2 linked regions of the Cricetulus griseus genome follow. The protein of the gene in region 1 purifies or fractionates together with the protein of each later gene. This does not show direct contact. Links are inferred from orthologs where the notes say so. Each region holds a gene or a part of one and is shown on either strand. Other genes may lie near its edges.

Region 1 (4,141 bases):
CTCTGTGTGTGTGTGTGTGTCTTGTGTGAGTGTGTGTGTCTCTGTGTGTGTGTGTGTGTCTTGTGTGTCTGTGTGTGTGTGTGTGTAGGCAGAGGGGAACCTTGCATGTTGTTCCTCAGAAACCATGCTTTTTGATACTGGGTCTCTCTGGGACCTGGGGCTTGCTAATTAGGCTAGGCTGGGTGAACAGTGAGCCCCAGACACCTTCTTGTCTCCACCTCCCCAACTCTGAGATTATAAGGCATAAGCTTGGCTTTCTGTCAGCTCTGGGGGCTTGAACACAGATCTTCACACTTGCATGGCAAGCATTTTAGCAAGTAAACCATCTTCAAAACTTTTGACTCTTTTTTTTACTTTATTTTTACTATCACAAATAATTCAGCACTTTCTTGAAATGGAGGCATGTGTTGCTACTTTAATTTTGTAATGATTTTTTAGGGCATCTAGTCCTAGCTTGGCTTCCTCTGAGAAGATGACTGTTTAGTTTTCAGAACTAATTGATGATGACACACTTTGCTCTGTGACTGCCCAGTTAGAATAGGTGTAACTGGTTCCTCACTGACCTTACTGCTTTGTCTCCCTAGAACCGATTCCCACTGGAGTGCTGTCCGAAAAGCTATCTCAGAGGTTGGTGACTCCTGTCTAGTGCTTTGTGCCTAATAATATTGTTGTGATTGACAAGATACATTGGGTTCAGAGCAGAATAGAGACGGGAGGTCAGCAGAGGTCACAGCAGGTGCAAAGTGCCGAGTGTAAGGCATATCTCCTGCTGGAAAGACATCAGAGTAAGAAATTACCCATAATTCTATCACCCAGAAATTATACAACTAAGTGAAAATCCTTCCTGTCAATCCCATAAACCATCCCCATTAGCAGTGTAGTGAGTCATCTTCCTGACTCTTTACTCTCTTCCTCAGTTACAAGGTCATGCTTGTGTGAGTGGGTGGGCAAATATCCACATACACAGAACATCCACTGACTCTAAAGTGCATAGCCATTGGTTCAGTGGCATGTGCTGTGGAACTGGACAGGAGTGGGGACATTTTGGTGCAGGATGCACTTGAAGCAGCTGGCATAGAACCCAGAGCTCTATACACTAGTCTCCACGAGGGTCAAAGTCATTACAGAGACCGGGGTTCATGATGAGTGTCACCTTCTAGCAATTGGGGGTTACACTGCAATATTTCTTTTGTCTGTGTTTTGTGTTTTCCTCTTTGGGGTTATGGTTGCAATGGTGTTGAAGTCTTACAGAGACAAATAGAGGAATGGAAACAAGTCTATTTCATTTTCCTCTCTTCAGCAGATAAACACTATTGATGTGCTAGCCACAATGGGAGCTATTCCTGCAGGGTTCCGGCCTTCCACGCTCTCCCAGCTGCTAGATGAAGGTAATATGGGACTTTCAGCCTCTGTACTCTTGTAGTTAAGCAGTCAATGCTGAAGTTGAATTTTTCTGTTATTGGCAAAACAAGTTGAAGATACTGAATCTACCCCCACCCCGTGTGTGTGTGTGTGTGTGTGTGTGTGTGTGTGTGTCTGTATGTGTCTGTATGTGTCTGTGTGTGTCTGTGTGTGTCTGTGTATGTGTGTGTTCCTGTGTGTGTTCCTGTGTGTACACATGCTGAGGCCAGTGGTGAACACCATGTACCCTCCTCAATTGTTCCCTACTGTATTTTTTGAGGCAAGGCTGCTCACTCAGTGTGCCTAGACTTGCTAGCCAGCAAGCCCAGGGATCCCCCTTTTTGCCCTCCAGCACAGGGACCACGGGTGTATACCACTGCACTACATCTGGCTCTTGCCTGGGTTCTGAGAGATAGAACTGAGGTCCTTATGCTCACGTGGCAAGTGCTTTACTGACTGAGCTGTCTCCCCAGCCCTGATTCTCACCTTCTTGAGTATTCACCTTTTCCTTGTCCTCTCTGTAGCTTTAAGGGATGCCAGGCTGTGTGTGGTGCTCTGGATTCCAGCCCCTTTCCTTGTTTCACAAACACAATTTCTGCTGTGTGGTTTGAAAGAAAATGGCCCCCAAAGGGAATGACGCTATCAGGAGGTGTGGCTTTGTTGGAGAAAGTATGTCACTGTGGAGCTGGGCTTTGAGGTTTCATATATGCTCAAGCTATGCCCAGTGAGCCAGACTGTTACGATAAGTCTTTACTCCATCCGCCCAAACCCCACCGCCACATGGGCACCCAGAATAACACACAGAGTCTTATATTAGTTTACAGTGCTGCTGGCCAATTGACTAGGATTTCTTATTTGCTAGCTCAGTCTTAATTATCATAAATCTATATATTTTATAAGACTTATCTTATCGAGGACACCTTCCGCTGGCATCTTCTTCCTGGGATCACATAGCAGCTCCTGAGCAGAGAGCAGGAGGAAGAGCAAGAGCAAGAGAGCAATTTCCTGCTTGTATTCTGAGTCTGCCTGCTATGTCACTTCCTGCCTAGATCTTGTTCCTACTTTTCTCAGAATCCTCCTTGACTCCTAGCCCCACCTATCTTGCTTTCTCATTGGCCAACAGTACTTTATTTATCAACCAATAAGACAAACATATACACAGAAGAACCTCCCCCATCATCCCACTCCTAACACCATTTTGTAACGATAAATCTTTATGCCAGTGGCCCAAGCCCCGCTGCCATGTGGACACCCAAAATAACACACAGAGTCGTTTTAATTACAATGCTGTTGGCCAAATGACTAGGATTTCTTATATGGTAGCTCAGTCTTAATTATCATAAATCTATATATTTTATAAGGCTTATCTTATTAAGGATGCCGGCGGAATGCGTCCTGTCTTTCCAAGCTCACATGGTAGCTCCAGAGCAGAGAGCAAGAGGAAAAGGAAGAGAAAGAGGACGATTTCCTTCTTGTCCCTGCTTATATTCTGAGTCTGCCTGCTATGTCACTTCCTGCCTGGATCTCGTTACTACATTTCCCAGAATCCTCCTTGACTCCTAGCCCCACGTATCTTGCTTTCCTATTGGCCAACAGTACTTTATTTATCAACCAATATGACAAACATATATATACAGAAGGACCTCCCCCATTAACAGACCACTTCCTGTTGCCTGCTGGTCAAGATATAGGATGCTTAGCTCCCTCTTCAGCACTGTGTCTTCCTGTGTGCTGCCTTGCTTCCCACCATGATGATAATGGACTAAACCTCTGAAAATGTAAGCCAAATGTTTTTCCTTCATAAGGAAACCCCAAGACAGGTGCCCTTTCCTTTATCTTTAACCAACCCTTCCTAGCCTTCCTCCTATTGGTACATGCCCATTCAATATTAACAGGACACCTAGTCCTGCAGCCTTTAAGGACCAACCCCCAAGCCCCATCCTATTAAGCCCTTCTTTGTAGAAAGACTTGTCTGGAGCATTCTCTACACCTCGTGTTTCTGCTCCCTTGTTTACTTTGGGCTTTCCCAGTGCTTGGCATCTGTCTGTGAGCTTTTGTAAAGAAGAACCATGGTGATAGGTGTCTCATGTGTACCTGAGCTGTTTAGTTATCCTTGGAAGGACTTCTTGAGGTCACCTCTGATGGACTGGCTCTTTCTTGTGTCCTTTCCATCCTTCCCCAGGATGCCTGCCATGGTTGTATTGGTTTCCTCTGCACCCTTGAAACAACTTGAGCACCCTTAAACCTCATGCATAGGCTTTGTTTGTCAGTCCCTCACTCAGCTGTAAGCTAATGAGAGCAGGACATATCTCTCAGGTTCACTATTCTGTTTCTGGCTTTTAACATAGCACTTGGCACAAAGCAGGGGCTCCAAAACTATTTCTTGAGTGAGTAGTGGTTTCTATAATTAACAGTCCAGTTGTAGACATATGATCCCAGCATGTGGGAAGCAGAAGTAAGAGAACCAGAAGTTCAAAGTCATCGTTGGTGGCATAGAGAGTTAGAGACCAGCCTGCTATTTATACAAGACATTGTCTCAAATATTAACTTAAAAATAAAGCTAATTATGTAATGTTTTCCCCAAATCTCTTAAACATGATTACAGATTTCTTCCATTTTACACAAGTATTTGAATGAATTGTCATTATAACCAGGCATGCTTTTTGTCTAAAAATCTTTAGAATTCCCTTAGAGCTGCCTTGAGGTGATCTTTATATATTTATATCTTTTAAGTTTTGTG
Region 2 (4,893 bases), on another chromosome or scaffold:
CATGGCCTTGGCAGTCATTCCACAGGAGAACTGGAGAAAAGTCACAAAGCCGAGTGATGCTGCAGTGGAGGGAAGCCAGGCTGGTCTTTTTCCTGGAGAGATGCTGCTGTGCACTGCTCTCCAGATCAAATGGGCGTGGACTCATTGAGAATCCTTATCTGACAGCATTAGTGGGGAGGAGGGTCCTCCTGACCCAAGTCCCTACACTGCCCCTGCCCCTGTGGCAGTGTGGGGGGCCAGTGTCCTCACCGCTCCCAGCCTTGAAAAGCACTCGAGCACCAGCCTAACCTTCCAGGGTCTGCCTGCCCCTCGCTCTCCCAACTGCCTGTCAGGTTGGCACTGGAGATCTGAAGGCCCGCCTCCCTGCAGCCCTCTCTAGAAACATTATCCAGGGCTGTGTGGTCAGTGCAGTCCTGGGAGACTGTGAGCTCCCTGAGTCAGCACCAGTCCTTGGAAAGACTCTGTCAGTACTGAAAGAAATATAACCTCTATGGCAGAGAAAGTGTTCTAAAGAGACACTTTATAACCCCAAAGAAGTAAAATCTCCCCGGGAATCCCCATGCTGGGAGGAAGGAAGGTCAAAGCCTTGTGCCAGAGAAAGGAGGAACTTGGGAAGGCTTCACTCAGTTCCGACCGGTCAGACCACCCAGCAGGAGACACTGGAGCAGACACAGGAATGGGTCAGTGACCACGCCCTGACCAGGACTACTTAGTTATGCATACCTCCCGCCTTGTTTGTGCCTAAACTTCATGCTAGTATTCCTAAGATGGACTTGGGGGTACTGGCCAGCCCCTGTTGTGGAATATTAACTAGGCAAAAAAGTGTTACATTTGTTTACACCCTGAGGGACTATTATTTTATGCTATTACTTTATGGAGATGTGTTACGTTTGTTCCTGCTGCCTTTGTTAATGATGGAAAGATGAGTCATATTTGTTGGTGCTGCATTTGTTTAATTATGTAAAATGTGTTGCATTTGTTACAGGTCCCCTGCCTATTTATTAGACCTGATTGGTCTAAAAGAGAAAAGAAAAAAGCTTAACGGCCAATAGCTAGGCAGGAGAGGGATAGGTGGGGCTGAAAGGCAGAGAGAATTAAGTAAAAGGAGAAATCTACACTCAAAAGAAGAGAAATAAGGGCAAGAGGGACAGGCCTGGGGCCAGAAGCCAGCCAGCCACCAGACAGACACAGAACAGAGCATACAGAAAGAAAGGTAAAAAACCCTGAGGCAAAATGTAGATGAAAAGAAACAGGGTAATTCAAGTTAAAAAAGAGGTAGCCAGAAACGAGTCTAAGCTAGGCCAAGCATTCATACTTAATAAGAAGTCTCCATGTCATAATTTGGGAGCTGGTTGGTGGGTCAAAATTAAAAAAAAAAAAAAATCCTGGTTCAGAACCATTTATGTGTTCCTCCTCCCAATGTGGCCAAACTGAATAAATCTCCTTTCTCCTCTTTTCACGGTTATTTGTCTCTTTAACCAGTGTACTGGGGACAGGTGGCAAAGATCACACCCTGGGGTTGCCAGAGCCAGGCTCATACCCTACAAACTCCAGTAACAGAAAGGTTTGGAGGAAGGATCACAAGGGCCACCAAGAAGAATAAACATTAGAAAGAAAACTGGGCCGCTCCATGCTTTCAACCCAAGGAAAGGGACCCTGGGCTCTCTACGAAGGACATGAAGGAGAAGACAGGACAGCTCCTACTGAAGCCCGAGCTCAGTCAGGCACAACACTCCCGATGTACTGCTCCAACAACTGGAAGGCAGTGTCATCACAGCCCACCCTATACAGGAGGAGACGGGCTCAGACAGCTGAGTTCACAGCTAATAGGGACTAACTCACACCCATACCACTCTCCTCCTCCCGCTCAGGAAGCCAAGGGGGACAAGATGTCCAGAAGGTGGTAGTTGAGAGCCCTCCGGGCGGAGATGTCCAAAGATGAGGGCCAGTTTTTTTCTCCTTAACTTCAGCCAAGGTCTTCACCCTCTCTTCCTGCTTCCAATCTACAAGATGACAGCTTGGGGGGGGGGGGGTCTTAGGGTCTTCCAGTCAATAAATGTTTGACAGACACCTGGTGTATTCCAGAGGCAAAGAGACAAATCGTCTCCAACAATATTTAACTGTAGTGAGGGAGAAACACGGGACAAGTGGGTGCACCCCACAGCATAGATCACGACCAAGACTCATATATAGGTGGTGACAAGGGAGGAAACCAGAGGCTGAAATTCTGAAATTCCACAAATAGTGGTGCCAGACTGGGGGAAGTCTGCTCCTCAGAAATGAAGACCTGAGAGTTACCCCCATGGGGGCGGGGGGTTACCTGTAAGTTTGATTAAGGCATGCATGCCCTCATTCACCCTCTGCTACGGGACTAAAGTAAACAGTCTCGAAGATCCCTGAGTACAAACTCAAGAACCAGACAGCGCTAGGGCAGTTGTGGGGCGGGGAGCGGGGGACACAAGGCAGAATTATGGCCCGTGGAAGCTGCATGGCTGAGCCACAAAAAGGAAACCAGGGTTGGGACAGGGAGAGTTTGCCCATTCCGTAAACCCGCAAAGCTGGCTTCAGTGCAAATTTCCAATCGCTAGTACGTCTCCCCGCACCAAGGCAAGTCTGGGCACACCAGGAACTAGGACATCAGTGTAGGTTGCAATTCCAAGCAATGAAGAAAGGGAGAAGACCCTGCGCCCCAGGGGCCTCCCAGTGCATAGAGGGCCGCATGAACCTGGCCGAGCTACCCGTATTAGGGCTGGGAAAGAAGCGCGCACACCAGCCCGTGGGCATCTTCGAGGCTCTGGCGAGCACGCCGCATCCGTTTCGGCACCGAGACTGCGGCGGGAACCCGGTCAGAAAGCGGAGGACAAACCGAAGGAGACCCCCGACGCCCAACTTCGGAAGGCAACCGGGATGCACCAATGGCGACGCAGGGGGGGAGGGTGACACCGCGCGACCTGGGCCCGGCCCCGTGCTCCGTGCCGTGCCTTGCAAACACCGGGTCGTCAGCGAGACGCAATATGCACATTCCCACCCGGGACCCTGAGGTCTCTCCAGGCTCTGCTGCCACCCGCGCTTCCAAAACACGCACACCTCCCCCGCACTTGGTGCGGTCCACCGCTGGCGTGTTACCTAGGAGACGGGCACCGGATCCACGCGCCCAAGACGTCCCGCACCGCGGATCCCGCGATCCGGCGGCCGGTGCGCAGCGGAACCCGAGGTCTGGTGGGTTCGGCGCCGGCCAAGGGGGTCGCCCTGTCCGCAGCCACCCACGCGAGGAGCCTGACCCGCGGGACTCCGCGCACTCGGCACCGGCCCCGCCTCGGGTCACTCTCTCCGTCAAGGCCGCGCGGGCCAATGAGAACCCGAGTCCGAGGACCCGGACTCCGCACGCGCCAGCCAATCGGCGCGTCGGCGGGAGCGGCATGATTTGCATGGGCTTCGAGGGCCTCCGCCAATGAGACGGTGACTGGCGTGGGTCACAGCCAATGATTGGCTGCTAGGGGCGTGGCCGCGGGCGTCCCACGAGGTAAAGATGCTGCGGGCGGAACCTGCGGGAGCGAGCGGGATTCGGGGCCGCTGAAGTCGCAAGGGCAGGGCGGGAAGGAAGATCCGGAGCGGGGCGCGGGATCCGGAGCTGGAGGCCCCCAGGTGAGTGCAGCCGGGAGACCCCGGCGGGCACCTGCGAGGCCGCGCTGTCGCGGGTACCGCGGTCCCTCTCCATGTCCTCTTCCCCAGCCCTGCATCCCTGCCCCCGCCGCGGTTCTCACCTCCTCTCCAGCCTCCCCATCTCCTTCTCCACAGTCTCCCTGCCCCCACCCCACCCTCTCTGCTTCCCTGTCATCCTGCCCCACCTTTCAGCCGACATCCCGGACCCCAACCACAAACTTCACCCCCGGCTCTGCCCCCTCCCGCCCCGCATCCCCACACCTCGCCCTTGCCTCCCTGCTTCTCCTCCTCTCCCTCCCGGCCTCTGCGCACTCCTAGTAGCTGCCTTCTCCATCCCTCTCCTTGTTGCTCCTCTGGACTCATTCTTCGTCCTTGCAGCCTGCCGGGTGTCCCTTTCGTCGTGACCCCAACTTCCCACCCATTCTGCTCCCAGCCCCTTCGATCCCCGCCGGCGCCGCCGCCACCACCGCCACCACCACGACCGCTACTGTGCCACCGCAGTGCTCTCTCTATTTTGCGTTGCACCTCGTCCCCTCTGTTTCTAGACTTCTACCCCTACCCTCAGTTTCTCCCGCATGCCCGGGCCCTGGCACTTGCGCATCCCCACCTCCCTACCTGCTGCTATTGCTGCTGCTTCTGCTGCTGCTGCAGGATGCGGAGCCCAAATGCTGCACTGCTTGCCTGCTGCAGTATCTGCAGCAAGGTGTACCTGCCCACCTGCCCTCCCTCCCTCCCGTCTGGCACACCCTGCTTGCTTCTCCTGGCACTCGTCCTGGGGTCTCCTTCAGGATGCCTTCTGGCACCCTTTGCTGCCTGCCCACGGGCTGCCATCCCCCTCTGACCCACCCTCGCTTACTGTTCAGTCACACTTTGTGAGTCAGCGTTTTTTGGGGTTGGTAACTTTCTTGGCTTACTGGTATGAAAGGGACCGGTCTTAAATGCAGGTGGTCTGGACTCGGAAGGTATGAGGGCCACCACATCAGACACCAGACTTGAGCTGCCCGTTTGGAAGAGGGCCCCACCAGTGGGGGTTGCCTCTTGCTCCATTCCATTCGTCCGCCCTGTGTTGAACCACATCCAAGGGGAGATGACATAAGTAATAGCTGTTGGAGAGATGGGCCATTAGCATTTATGGAAATTAATACATCCACATGAGCAGGAACACCAAGTTCAGTCCACAGCTGTCCCACTATCTGTCGCTTCTGGGTTTCTTCTTTCTTTGCAATTTCT

Evidence for each region. Proteins that work in one complex are often made in the same cells at the same time.
Region 2: the proteins of Nphp1 (region 1) and nephrocystin-4 purify together in Homo sapiens (co-immunoprecipitation; 6 studies listed by BioGRID and IntAct, with this or other methods). This does not show direct contact. The link is inferred for Cricetulus griseus from reciprocal best matches to the Homo sapiens genes NPHP1 and NPHP4.

Annotation. Positions count from the first base shown.
Region 1 is NC_048599.1:50,821,345-50,825,485, forward strand, and holds part of Nphp1 (nephrocystin-1), read left to right. Parts: intron 1-584; coding exon 585-627; intron 628-1,300; coding exon 1,301-1,388; intron 1,389-4,141. UniProt on the Homo sapiens protein: Together with BCAR1 it may play a role in the control of epithelial cell polarity. Involved in the organization of apical junctions in kidney cells together with NPHP4 and RPGRIP1L/NPHP8. Does not seem to be strictly required for ciliogenesis.
Region 2 is NC_048595.1:3,880,172-3,885,064, forward strand, and holds the start of nephrocystin-4, read right to left. Parts: upstream 3,339-4,893; 5' UTR 3,127-3,338; intron 2,864-3,126; exon of another isoform or gene 2,739-2,863; intron 1-2,738. UniProt on the Homo sapiens protein: Involved in the organization of apical junctions; the function is proposed to implicate a NPHP1-4-8 module. Does not seem to be strictly required for ciliogenesis. Required for building functional cilia.